Linked DNA regions of Arabidopsis thaliana. The protein of the gene in region 2 interacts with the protein of the main gene of each other region in a pairwise test. Each region holds a gene or a part of one and is shown on either strand. Other genes may lie near its edges. The genes, in order: AT4G31330 and AT3G50940.

The links.
Region 1: the proteins of AT3G50940 (region 2) and AT4G31330 interact in a protein complementation assay, tested with the Arabidopsis thaliana proteins (one large-scale study listed by BioGRID).

The regions. Positions count from the first base shown.
Region 1 is NC_003075.7:15,198,720-15,205,933, reverse strand, and holds AT4G31330 (transmembrane protein, putative (Protein of unknown function, DUF599)), read right to left. Parts: upstream 3,647-7,214; 5' UTR 3,581-3,646; coding exon 3,413-3,580; intron 3,335-3,412; coding exon 2,783-3,334; 3' UTR 2,372-2,782; downstream 1-2,371. Other genes in the region: AT4G31340 (myosin heavy chain-like protein), read right to left, coding at 113-272.
Region 2 is NC_003074.8:18,929,944-18,937,718, reverse strand, and holds AT3G50940 (P-loop containing nucleoside triphosphate hydrolases superfamily protein), read right to left. Parts: upstream 3,969-7,775; 5' UTR 3,888-3,968; intron 3,637-3,887; 5' UTR 3,634-3,636; coding exon 2,647-3,633; intron 2,560-2,646; coding exon 2,191-2,559; 3' UTR 2,108-2,190; downstream 1-2,107. Other genes in the region: ZAR1 (HOPZ-ACTIVATED RESISTANCE 1), read right to left, coding at 1-1,592; BCS1 (cytochrome BC1 synthesi), read right to left, coding at 6,172-7,775.

The DNA.
Region 1 (7,214 bases), on a different chromosome or scaffold from region 2:
GCGAACTCTGCAGATTCCGATTTCAAATACGAATCAAAGTCGAATAAAAATCAAAACTTCGCAATCATTCGATCAGATGGAAGAGTCTGAACAATGCAAGTCGGTAACTAACCTAGGGCACGGATCTTGGCATTAAGCTGATCCAGGTGGATCTTGGAAGAGCCATCGGATCCGGCAGCCTCAGAAACCTCCGGCTCATCAGCATCGGCGAAGACGCTGGTGGTGAAAAGCAAGGCAAGAAGTAACAAAGCGACGAGCTTCGCAGCCGCCATGTCTAAGATTCACCACCGTCGATCAACAAAAAGGGACGGAGATTCCAACGAACAAGAGAAACGTTTCCTCTCTGCTCTCTCACGATCTCTCTGTATATTTATGAAGGTGTGTTTTTGACCATGGACCGTAGAAATTTCTTAACCAGTAGGAAAAAAAGAAACAGCGTGCCAAGACGAGAGAGAGAGAGATAGATGGTACTAAACGTGAGGTAAATGGCTTCGTGGGTATGTCGTGACCGACGATGACACGCGGCATCCATCGGATCCACTTTTGTATTTTCACATTAATGACGTGGCGTAAATCCAATGGTTGATCCTTTTTGGGTAAAATATGACAACCAATTAACCAGTCGATATTATTATTATTGTCCTTTTTCGAAAGCAATTCAATCAGATCATCAAATTAATGACATTCATCTACTTGCCTGCTAACTAATCGTGGAGTACTAATTTTACTATATCCAGATTAAACCATTAGATATTCGATGCACCATTTAATTTCTCGTTAACTAAGCAACTTCTATTCTGAATTTTTCGATACTCGTTTTTTTAATTGCCTGAGAGCTAAGAATCTTTGTTTTTCTCTCCAAACAACACCGGCACGTTAACAATTTTATAAGTACGTATTATGTTATTACTATGCTTGATCCAACACAATTTGCCCTAATTTAAAAAGAATTTATGTAAAGGTTGGAATCACGATTCGCGATAGCTAAATCTATACGATTAATTGATTGGATCACAGAATCATGACAAATAAGTACCGCTGGATTATCAGAGATGTGTCTGGTCTATCGTTTGCTTTATGGCATTAACCAATTTATAATACTAGTTTTAACAAGACAAAAGTATAATTAATTAGCAACTACTCAATAATAATTATATGTACGTGGTACGTGGAGTTTGCCAACTCAAACCAGAAGCAATGACATTAACGTAATTCATCTTTTCATTAATTATAATCTCCGGTGTATAAAGCAAGGCCTAGTTGAAAATGCATATACTGATAATATTGAAAATGTATATTATTAATATACTCCAAAGTTCTCCAACGTTGCGGTCTCATCAAATCATCAGCCTCACAAATGTTTTGTTCTTCTCTAAGTTTCCCAAAAAAAAAAAAAAGGGGATGAAGTTCGATTATAGTCTATGATTCACAGGTGTTCAAAAAAAGGACAGAAAAAAGTCTCATTAAACCCAAAAAAAAAAAAGATTATAGTTTATGATTTCTTATAAGTTATATATTAGTAAAAAAGAATTACAGGTGAGTAAATGATCAAACACAAAACAGTCCAGTGATCTTCCAAACTTGATGTTGTATTTGAGTTTTGTTAAATCATTACAGAGATGTCTATCATCGTAATCCTTCGCTTTGAGCTCCTACTTCAATTCTTCAAAAGTGCAAATGCCTTCATCATCTCTTGACATTTATTTTTATAAAAAGGCTTGAAGAAAAAGAGAAAAATATCACATGCCTAACAGGCCACAGTTTATAATTTTATTAGATTTAGGCCCACTTAAGGACAGCCCATGGTACTTTTGCCAACAGTTTAATTGGCTATCTCTATGATATATCTCTGGCTATCTCGTTGTTAAATGGTCAGTAGCTATTATCCATGAAATTTGTGTATCAACGGATAGTCACGAGTAAGTTATTTAGCAACTGTCGTTTAGCTATTTAGCTACGTACGAAACTAAAGTTTTAACTACGAAAATTTTCATCACTAAAATTGTATTTGTTTGTAGCATGAAATAGCTTTTTGTTTACCTAATCTAAACCAAAATTGAAAATATATATATGAAAAATAGAGTTAGTTAACATACAATGATACAATTTTAATCTAGGCGAACATGGGCTTCAGAACTAGATTCGGATATAATTAGCTAACATCATAATCTGAATTGTCATCTCTAAACGAGTTCTAAACAGTTTGATTTCATACTACACAGAAAAATAACCGTGTAGGTATATTTCTACATTGTCTTAGGGAGGATTTAAATAGCCTCGTGACGACTGGTTCCTAACACATAACATAACAACAAAACTTAATAAGACAGATACTAATGCACGGAATAGATGTGAACATCACATTTTTTGTCCCGTTTCTTGCCCAACGTAAGCCACATGCATATAAACACTAACAGAAAAAGAAAAAGAAAAAAGAGAAACGTACATACCAAGAGAGCTGTGAGATATGCTGATACGTTATAAAGTCACCCACATGGAAATGCCAATAATAACGCTCAATAAACCAAAACGTGACATATATTACACCACACCAAATACATACGGCCGAAAAACCCTAATATATGAAAATTATAATGCGTTATTTAATTACATTTTTTTTTCTTAATCGGAAGATCTAGAATTGAAACCTAAACTATGATCTTCGAACTTTTCAACTTCCATGTAAAGTCCTCATGCGTTCATCGGTAGTCCAGGATTTAACAAAGAGGACGATGATATCACTTAATTACAAATCACTTGTTCTACTGACCAGAACTCGATTTTACACAGATCCAAAACTAGACTTTTGATCAAGTTTTCTTCTTTCTTTACCGAAGAAGAAGAAATCGAGGTTGTAAAGTAGAGGAACCATCACGACCGAGCACAAAAACACAAGCACCGGTCCAAATATCCAAAGCATCAACGGCAAAGCCGCGTAGAACAACCGATTCCCCACAGTATTCAAAATAAACCCTCTCTCTAGCAACTCCGCCACGTACTCCTCCGCGGTCATCATCATCTCGTCCTCCAACTCCTCAGGAGGAAAAGGAGTGTTGATGAGGATGTTAACTTGGTTGATGAAACGAATTGAGAGAGAGTGAGAGAAGAAGGAGAAGAGGAATATGGTGAGTATCGTGACGTACTTGAGAGCCACCATGAACTCTCCGCGAGCTCCAAAAACAGCGTCGTTTAGAGGCTTCTTCACTGCATATGTGCTGCTTAAAACCGCAGCTAGACCAGCGCAGAGGAGGATCGATGTTGTTGCCATCAAAGTCGACCCCATTATGCAGTTTCTAAGCGTTTGAACGGCCAAGATGTTCTTCTTGTCGTTGTCCTAATTTAATCAAATACATAAAATTAAAATCATATATTTATGTGTGTGAAGATGTTTATATAAGAAAATTGAAGTTACCTTGATGATGGAAGCGACCCAGAATCGGCGAGCTCTAGCGTTAGTGCCGATGATAGTGGTGAGAGGCTGTGTTCGTAACTTATGCCACAAGTAAACATGGTAAGATGCATACACCATTAGCCCTAGCGGCACCAATATCACATCTAAATAACATTCTCTCCATTCCATTTCTATCTTCTAAACTTATCCAAGTTCTATCTTCTTTTTATGAAGCCGTTTTCTATATGACTTCTTGGAAGGTTTAAAGACCCTATTTATAAGAAAAATTATAATGAAACACTAACCAAATAATTTAAAATAATTGTTTTTTTTTAATTTTATTTTTTGATAATGAATCGGATAAAAAAAATTTGTTTTTTTGAGAAATGACATAAAGGTGGATGGAGAGGGATGACGTGGCATATATTTGTCCTTTTGTTCGCCATTGTTATTTCCAAAGTGATCTCTCTCTCTTTTTTTCTTCTTCTTTGTCAACAAGTGATCTCTAGTTGGAGCCCATATCATAGTATATATAATTCTTGCACGCTTTTGATTTCTGTCTTCTACCATTTCTTTTGCTTTCTTCTTCTAGTCATATATATTTGCTTTTTTAAAAGGCCTATGTTAATCATGTATCATGTTTATGTAGCCGTCAAGTAAAAGTTTATGGTATTCCAACAAAATAGATGTTGTGTGATTATGTTTTAATAGATGGATGTTTACAACTTATGTAAAATTCGTGACATTTTTATTGAATAAACTGCACTAGATTTATTCATTTTTAGTTATTGATAGTGTAGTGTAATAGATAGCAATTAATTTAGAAGATTAGCTATTCGTACTACTAAAAGTCTAAAACTATCCCCTTTTTTGTATACTACATAACTTGAATAAAATCTCAACACTTAAACTTTATCATCCTCCTTCAGTAGACTTTTTTTTTTTAATCATTTTATCAGATAGCTAATCATTTTCATTTCATTTTCTAGTAAAGTATTCTTCTAATTCTAGCTATGAACATATCTATTATGAATTTATGATCTAGATATTCTTGAAAGGATATCAACATGATGTATGTATCTATGTATACATTAATAACATATGCATCACGTTGAAACGTATTCATGTGACATACAATAAAATTTCGAAACAAATAGTCGGGCTTCTTTCCTAATACCTGGTGAATCCGACAGATAAATGTTGATAGACAACACTAATATATCTTCTTCTTCTTTTTTTTTTTTTTTTTTTTTTTTTTTTTTTTTGTCAAAAACACTAATATATCTTACAAATTAAATGATATTATATATACTATGGAAATGGAGCAATAAAAAATCTGCCAATAAGTAACTAGTAGTACTGCATAATTTCTCGAGGATACAAAATGAGTGAAATCTGACGAGGACCATATACAGATATTGTGGGTGATTATCATATATGAGATAAGACACAGACATGAGATGAGGCTGACCTTTAACCATCGCCGATTAGTTTCATGCATCCCTCTCATCATGACTAAGTTTAATTGGTTTTGGGTGTTTCATTCACTATCGTCCTTCACGTTGGAATTCTAGCTGTTACTTCCACAATTCACACTAACTTATCTCTTTTTGGTGTTTTTAAATCTTTTAAATATTACAATTTTGTGTGGAGTAAGCGCTACAAAGAGACGGTAATTAATAACATTTATAGAGCCCCAGAATATAGGGTTTTGGATTTATCTCAAAGTATAACTTTTGTTTTCTATCTAAATCAGATGTATATAGCAAATCACCAATATCAGGTGAAAAATTTAATACCTAATAACTTTTTTTTGTTGTAATTAAGAGATTCTAAGCCAAAATTCGTACATTTCTTTAGATTCGGATAAGCTTTTAAAACCTTTACTCGGACTAATGGACTATGGTACTTTTCCAATCGAGCAATCCCATATTTCATAAATTCAAATATTCACTGTATCTGTATGTTCATTTTTTATATATGATATTCAGATATCTTGAATCCTATATCTTAGATATATTTTAAGACAAGCACATTTAGGTATTTAAGTACTTTCGATCGAATGTTTGGTTATTCTTATTCCGTTGCATCATTACATGCATGAATGACCGATCCTCTTGAAAAATTCTTCCACTTTCCAAACGCAGAAAAAATGAATGGGCATATTTATTTCATTTATGACAGCATTGCAATGAACATTCTATTAAAACGAATGACATTATTCATCTAATAAATTGCATTTTTTTACAAAAACTACCAGTTAATTCTTAAATGAATAACAAGAATTGTTCCGGTTTAAATGAAAAGGGGCCAGTTTGTTTAGTCATTTTGATGAATTGGTTTAACTTTGGTTCTGTTTTATCCATGCTTGTGGTTATACTTACATGATTCTAATTATCTTGAAAGTATTTTAGCTGTAGAAATGGACTGATTTTTTGAATCTGTCATTGCTATATTTGACGAATCAAAATGAGAATAAAGTAAAAATAGAGATGCAATAATTGTTTAAGAGTGTCAAGCTTAATTTTGTTGTGACGTTCTTGGACGGGAAGTGCGGCTTGGTTCCTAATTTGAGTCCTTTGTAATTCAAACTTGATAGTGCTCCTTCTTTATATCCTCATTAGTTAGAACTAAAGGAAACTTCAAAAGCTAGATCAATCATCGAGGAATATATATATTGGGTTCTTTAATAATTTCAAAATGTATTATTTATAGAGCACTATAGTTTCTTGAATAGGCAAGTTGGCTGCGTTCTTGTTATTATTTGGACGTAGTTTTTTCATATCAATGTTTGTGATTGTTTTCACTAAAACTGTTTCATCATATCCTGTCAAATTGTGTGACGTGAATTTTATGCATCACATAATGAACAAGAAAAACTATTATCATGACATATATACGATCGGTGACACAAACGATATAATATTTTTGAAGGATGTATAAAAAAGTGATAAACAATACTGGAATAGTTAAAAGCGGTAAGAAAAAATCGCAAATATAAACTTATTACTTAAAATTTTACCAAAAAAAAATAAATCTTATTATAGACAATTTCACATATGTGATATATACAAGTATATATATATATATATTTTTTTTTTATAAAGAGACACATATTTAGAACACAAGGGTTAATTATAGCACATGTCTATGATTAATCATATATAGTAGCATAAGATGTTTGTCTTTAATGCGTACGTGTCAGATTTATAGATATGTAGCATAAAATCGTGAATAAATAAATCTGAAGATTTGCTTACTAAGCTAAACTAAACGATGTGTCGTTGTATACCTTTTTTTAGATACTTGTCCCTCACTAGACAAATTCCTTTGCTGCCTCGTCCCATAAGCAATGTGCTCCTAAGTATCTTTATATACCAACGAAGTGATTGGATTATACATTCGGTTCATATCTATTCTGAGAGGACTAGAGTTTGTTTTTTAGAGTGTGCTTATCTTAAAGATCATCAAATACGCAAATACTATGCATTCCAGCAGGAAAAAAAAAACGAATTGACTCAAAAATTGTGTTACCATCGATTGCTCATCTGACAAATAAAATAAACCTTTCTTGCATAGACGTACGGTATGAATCATATTTTTTTTTGTTGCTTGGAGATCGACTTAATGATAATGCGTCATTGTTCTTTGGCTTAGTCATTCGCCACAGATCCGACATTGTGTGTATTAGGCGTTGATGATCGAATCCTGTTTCCCACATAAGGAATTATATGCTCTCATTTGTGGAACCCAATTTTAAAAGTAATGCTGTTGATCAGTAATAATATACTTTCTTTGGCAACTTAAGTCTTAAAAGTGAAAC
Region 2 (7,775 bases):
TTATGGTTAACTTTGATCTGCTTCTCATCAAAGTTTCCACTAATCCCAAGGTGACGACAGTTGAGGCCTTCCGGGTTAGAGAACGAATCCTTCTTGGCTATATCGATCACCAAATCACGAACCATGTCATGAATCTTGCAAGTGATGATGGTTCCGCTATAGGTTTTGTCTACAACTTCTATTAGACACCTGTTTGTGAGCCCGGAAAAGCAGTCTTCTCCAGATTCAGTTGCAGATCTTCCGTTTCTCCACATGACAAAACCTTCTCCGATCCATCCATGTACTAGTTGTTGTTTTGGTATAACACAGTCTTCTGGATAGAGCGAAAGCGTGAGAATGCACGACTTAAGGTGGGAAGGGAGTTCATCGTAGCTCAACTGCAGAGAAGACATAACATTGTCAGTTTCAGAAGTGTTTCCTCTTAGCTCATCCTGAAAATGCTCTGCAATTCGTCTCCATTCATGATAGACATGGTCTTTGCACAGAAGTAACCCACCAACCGCTTTGATTGTCAAAGGCAAACCTTTGCATTTCGTTACAATCTCCTTGCCAACATCCTCTAGCTCGGGACGCTCACAAGTACCGTCATTTGCTGCAAATGCCACATTACAAAACAGCAGCCAACTGTTATCAGGACTAAGGAGCTCTGGACGGTGAGTCTTGTCGTCTCTCGCTTGCACCCTTTTCGCTACAGATTCCGACCTTGTGGTCACGATAACGCTACCTCCTTGTCCTCTAGGCAGTCCTTGGTAGATCTTGTCCCACCAGCTCAAATTCTTGTCCCATACATCGTCCATAACTATCAAGTACCTTTTCCCCAAAAGATACTGCTGGATTTTTCTCAGCAATGTTCCAATATCATCTCCAACACTCGCGTCCCCCAAGTTCCTCAATATGCTTCTCATGATCTGTTCTTCAGTAAAAGTCTGGGACACAGACACCCATATCCTTCTTTCGAAACGATGTTCGATCTCTTTGTCATTGAACACTTCTTGAGCGATTGTAGTTTTACCTAGCCCTCCCATCCCAACAAAGGCCATTATCAAAAGCTGGCTGTCGTTTGATCGAAAGAGCCACTCCTTGATTTTTCTTTTATCTCCTTCCAAACCAACCACCTGAGTATGATCATACACCGGAGAGCTCCACCGATCAGTTCCATTATCTCTTCCAACATTACTCGGCGTTATGAATTCGAAATAAGGCTCTACTTGACTCTTTATTTTCGTTATCCTCTCATTGATCTCTTGCAAACGTTTGCTTTTCTTGTACTGCAACGGAACCCGGGCAGGATGAAGCCGCGAAAGCCACGCATTTGATGACCTTTGCTCGTTCCCATCATCACCATCCGCGAGCTGACAATCCACAAGTATATCCTCAGCTTCGTAAACCAGTTCTCGTAAATCCGCAACAAGAGTACGCAACGTTTCATTAGTTCTCTTCTGCCTCTCTGCATCCTTGAGAAAAGACTGCATATATTTCAATTCGCTTTGCAAATCTTCCAACTGTTTTCGGTAGTCCGATACGGTTCGGCCTTTTTCTTCGAGGATGTTCAAGGTTTTCTCTAAAAACACTGTTACAACAGCGTCCACCATTTACTCAGACCCTGCAACTTCAAGAAATATCTCTAATTGGTAAACTATAACCAAGCAATAATTCAATCGGTTATGTGTATCATCACTAGATTGAACTTTCCAAAAATCAATCAACCAACGACTATAGAATCTCAATAACCAAAAGATTGGATTATTCTTTAACTAATCCATATCTTCTCAAGAAACATGTAGAATCCTAGAACATTGAAACAAATCTAACCAAAGTAAAGTAAACTTACAAGGTTGTGACTTAGCCTTAGCCGAGAAGGATCTGAAGCTTCAGATCTTTGGATTTTTTTAGCAAAACTTGTTTCAGAAAAATGAGCTTACATAGAGACTTTATCGAAATTGAAGTCAATGGTTTAACAAGTCAAGAGTCAACCTTACTCGTTTTCTTGGTTACTGCTGCCGACTACGAAACTTGTCTCAATCTACTTTAGAATCTTATCATTGAGTTTAGACATGTTCTGACCTCATAAAACAATATCCGCATTTCACTTAGGAAAAAAAAAAATGATTTCACTTTCTGTAACATTTTATAACCAATAATTGCATGATAGTGTTTAACAAAGAAACAAATAAAAGAACTAAATTTCTTCTAAGCTTTTGAATTATCTATTTGCTTCTTGGCTTTTAAGAACTCAACAAGTCCTTGGAGTACTTTATCCACAGAGTCACTCCTCATCAGTTGTTCAGCTACTTCTGCTGGTGTAACTTCAATTTCTCGGATAAATTCTTCAATCTGCTCGAAAAGTATATGATCTTGAATCTCGAGATAATTCGAAGCCAAAACCTTAAAAGCAGCTGGTGTGCAATACGACATGTGAATGTGCATGTCCATACGTCCTGGCCTCAACAATGCTGGATCCAATTTTTCTCTGTAGTTAGTCGTAAACACTATAATCCGCTCGTTACCACAACTTGACCATAGTCCGTCTACAAAATTCAATAGACCAGAGAGTGTGACCTGAAAATGACTAACCAAAACATTAGTAATGCTAATAAGCAAAAGATCACATAACAACATAACTGATAGTGAATCAAAATGCATCACCGTTTTATGTAACGGATCGTTGTTTTCTTGATCAGTAGACCGATCTTTTAACTCGATTGAACAATCTATATCTTCCACAACTAGAATGGAACGATTTGCAGTAGACATAAGTAACCTCCGTAGCTCAGCATTGTTGTTAAGTGATGTCAAGTCTAAGTCATAGATATCGAAGTTAAGATGATTAGCTATAGCTGCGATCAAGCTTGATTTTCCAGTACCGGGAGGACCATACAACAAATAACCTCTCTTCCAAGCTTTTCCAACTCTCCCGTAAAAGCCTTTCCGCTGCACGAATCGATCAAGATCCTCCACCAAGTTTTTCTTCACCTCGGGATCCAGAGCGAGAGTGCGAAACGTGGAAGGATGATCTAGAGTCACAGAGGTCCACTCCACGGAGTAAGAATCAACGGTGAAGATCTTCAATGTTTTAAACTTTTGTTTAATAGAAGCAGCTTGTTCCACAACAAACGGTAAATAAGATTCAAGAACCATGTTCTTGAACTTCTTTCGGAAACTAAGCTCGTAACTACGCACTTCTGATTTCAAAGTGGAGTTGAGATCTCTCGGGTTACGAAAATCCTTTTTATCGACATGGCGACATACAAGGATCCAACTAAGCTTGACGCCATCAAAAATATCAACAACTTCCTCATCACGTTCAACAGTAACACTATAATTGCTCTGTTTCTCAAGTTTGTTAACTTTGATTCTTCTAGTGGAATTAGATATCTTGGTGGAGAGATAAGCCTCTGCAGCTTCAAACACTTGGTTGTGTTCAAAACCTCCAAATTCTTCTATTACAGCTGTCATCTGATAAGAGAAGTAGCTGAAGAATCTGCGAAAGCCGTGAGAGATATATTCATGAACCTCGTTTGGCATGTAATCTTGAACCACTGATCGAGCTAGTATTGCGGCTGCAGCAACTGATGCAACCGCTGTGAGAGCTGTTTTGGCGGTGGCTAGATGAGATTCACTAGAGGAACTCATCTCCTTCAATCATCAAAAATAAAATAAATACATTCAAGTCGGTTCTCATAAATCAAAGAGACAAGAAACTAATCCAAAAAAAAATCTGATTATAGAACAATAGTACTGTATTTGTTACTAGGTTACGTGGGGATAAATCTGATTAGGTTAAACAAACGATGCTATTCTTTTGATAATTTTACGATGAGCACACAAATTGGAATCTTAACAAGTAAAAAAAAAAAAATGTTAAGGTTAAGGAGAAAATTTGATACCAGTTCTTCTCTTTTATTTGATGAAAGGCTTCTGCGATCAATAATAAATTTTCACGAATACCTCTGATCATAAGATTGAGATAATTAGGGAATGAAAGATTACTATTTAAATGGTGATGGAACACTAAATGAATGGTCTATAGTGGGCCAAGATTACGGCCCATTTGATAAAGTATCGTTAAAAATGAAAACTTGATAGCCCCTACAGACTTCTAGAGTCTGGTCGCTGGCTCGCTGCAAAAATGCAAAGTCTTTGCTCCTTAACATATATGCTGACTTGTCTTTTATACTTGAAAATTGTAATAGTAGTTTTAATGTTAGAATGACATGTTAGCAAAATATTTACTTTCTTGAAAAGTAATTTTTTCTTTGTTGAAAATAATTTGGATTATATTTCGATTTATGCGTGTCTTATGCGGACTATACTAATCTTTTATGTATCGTTCCAATTTTAATAGATGTTCTTCGAGACAACATTTTGGAAAATATTTCTAAGAAGATTGTTTTATTTTTGATGATTCTTTACAAAATATCTAATAATTGGGTTTTTTCAAGTTCATATATGTTTCTGCATCCTTTGTTTGATTTTTTTCTTTGTTGATTTAACTATGCTTGTGTTTAAATTACTATAGTGCTTACCCAATAGTAATTCAAATATCTCTCATTTGACTTAATGATATTAACTAATATAGAATCTAAAAAATAAAACATTATGAAACAAAATCTAGAAAATATTTTTTTATGAACCGGAGGAACTAATGTAAGATATTAGACTAATACCAAGGTTTAGTTATAATAATTTTCAAAGTATAATTATGCTATATAAAAAAATTATGGTAGAAAAAATCTCGTTCGATAAAACAAAACTAAAGAGAAAAACATGCAAAACGATATTTCTTCTAAGCTAGCGTCTTGAAGGTAGAAGGATGGTTAAGAGTAACAGAGGTCCATGGGTCTGATGAGTACCAGTAATCTGTGTCGAGAGTGAAGAGCTTGGGCGTTTTCTTCTCTTTTATTCACCTTTTTTTGCATTAACCAATAAAAATATGTTATAAATCCTATTTAAATTACATAATAAATTAAAGCTATAATTATAATCCAAACCGATATAAAATCTCGTTTAATTACAAAATCTAAACTCTAATTTTCCTTTATAAATCCAAACCGCTATTTAAACTCATTTAATCGTAAGAAAACTAAACTTTAATCGTATTTTCTAAACCCAAACCGACATTTAACCTCGTTTAATTGTAAAATCTAAATCTGTTTATAAAACTAAACCAATATTTAACCCATTTAATCAGAAAATCTAAACTCTAATCGTACTTTCTAAACCCAAACTGATATTTAACCTCGTTTAATCATAAAATCTAAACCCTAATTTTTTCTAATAAACCCAAACCGATACATAATTTTGTTTTAGTGGCAAATTAGATTTTATAATTAACTTTCTATTATTGTTATTAGGTGTCCGATTTTAATTAGGTAAAATAAAAGAAGTTAATATAAAGTTCATTCAAATATTTTTCTTTATTTATTTGTAAAGCATCTAGGACTGACGAAAAAAAAAAAGCATCTAGGATTAGGAGTCAAAGACAAAAATAAATATAAACACGAAAAAGGAAATAACTCGAAAAGGAAATGACATTTAAAAGCCCAATTTTAAGGAAAAATAGAAATTGAGGAAAAGGAAGAAGATCAATTATACATCTACAAAGAAAGGAAGAAAATTAAAACATGTACGGCCCATTTAATAATAGTATTGACTAAACGAATTGTGTAGTGGTGCCAAAATTTTGGCCCACTTAATTAGTGTCAATTCCTTTTCTCGATACAAGGAAGGAATCATTGAGATTTTCTTTTTTGTCGGAATCATTGAGATTTTCAATTTCACAAATGTGGCTTGAAGATATTATTTTATCGGTGAGATAAAAAAAAATCAACTGTCATAAATTAAGATTCGGAAAGTTAAAATTTAACCTTTTTTTTTTTGTCGGCAAACTTTTTTTTTAGTAGCTTAAAACAAATTGTGCTAAAAAAAGTTAGAAAAAAAACAGAGAGAAAAAACAAGCTAAACGCATAGTTTTGTATAAATACACGTGCTCTTCTCTTTACAGCTACCACTCGGATGCAGAGGTGTTTTATCTGATCTCCTCAATTTTTTCCCTTTTTTGGTCTCAATCTCTCTAAGATTATTTTATCTTAGGACTAGGTTTATAAATGAATCTGTAGATTATAGACAGTAACTGGCGATTTAATGATTTAGGTATTGATATCTCACAAGTTAATGTTGTTCAACCTCCTCATGTTTGGCTTTATCTTGGTCGTCCTCGATCTTCTTGGCTTTTAACAACTCGACCAAACCCTCAAGAACCTTATCAACACGGTCATTCCTCACTAGCTGTTCATCAACCTCTTTCTTGACTACGGAATCTGTTCCCTCCTTGGTCTTTTTCTTGTTCTCCAACTCTTGCTTCTCTGTTTTGGCCTTATCTTGTTCGTTTTCGATCTTCTTGACTTTCAAGAACTCAATCAAACCCTCAAGAACCTTGTCTACAGAGTCATTTCTCATAAGCTGTTCAGCTACTTCTGCTGGAGTGACCTCTGTCGCCTCAATACCTTCCTCGATCTTGCTGAAAAGGCGGTGCTCTTTGATCTCAAGATAGTTCAAAGCAAGAGCTTTGAAAGTACTTGGTGTGCAATACGACATGTGGATGTGCATATCCATACGTCCTGGTCTCAGCAAGGCCGCGTCGAGTTTCTCTTTGTAATTGGTTGTGAAGATTATGATCCTTTCGTCACCGCAGCTTGACCATAGACCATCTATGAAATTCAACAGTCCAGAGAGTGTCACTTTTTTATACCGTGGATCTTCTATATCGTCAGATTCCCGAGGAGGTTCATCGCTAGTCCTATCTTTCAATTCTAGTGAACAATCGATATCTTCTACGATAAGAATCGAACGATTAGCAGTGGCAATCAATAATCGCCGGAGCTCAGAATTGTTGTTAACCGCGGTCAACTCTAGGTCGTATATATCAAAGTTGAGATGATTGGCCATGGCTGCGATCAAGCTTGACTTCCCTGTGCCTGGTGGACCGTACAGCAAGTAACCTCTCTTCCAAGCTTTACCAACCCTTTTATAGAAGTCTCTTCGCTTTACGAATTTGTCTAGATCTTCCATCACACTTGTCTTGACATCTGAATCCATTGCTAGAGTTTTGAAGGTAGAAGGATGGTCAAGAGTAACAGAGGTCCACGCGTCAGAGTAGTTCCCATACATGTTTTCTGGGGAGAGAGTGAAGATCTTGAGTGTTTTCTTCTCTTGCTTCATCAACGTGGCTCTTTTCACCATGAATGGCAAGTAAGATTCAAGAGCTACGTCTTTGAATTTCTTGTGGAAGTTGAGTTCGAATGATCGGACCTCAGATCTCAGTGTGGAGTTTAGATCCCGTGGGTTGTGGAAGTGCTTGGACTCGACATGACGACAATGGAGGATCCACTGGAATTTGACGCCATTGTAGGTGTCAACAACTTCTTCGTCACGCTCCACGGTGACATTGTAGTTGTTTTCTTTCTCATGTTTACTCACTTTGATTCTTTTGTTAGAAGGAGAGATCTTGGTGGCTAGATAGGCCTCTGCAGCTTCAAAGACTTCATTGTGAGCAAAACCTTCAAATTCTTCGATGATTATCGTCATTTGGGATGAGAAGTAACCAAAGATGGAACGGAATCCATAGGAAATGTAGTGATGCACCTCGTCAGGCAAATAATCTTGGACTAAAGATCGAGCTAGCATTGCGGTCGCAGCCACCGAAGCCGCGGTGGTGAGAACCGTCTTAGCCGTGGCTAGACGGGATTCGGCGGAAGAAGAGTCAGAGGAGCTCA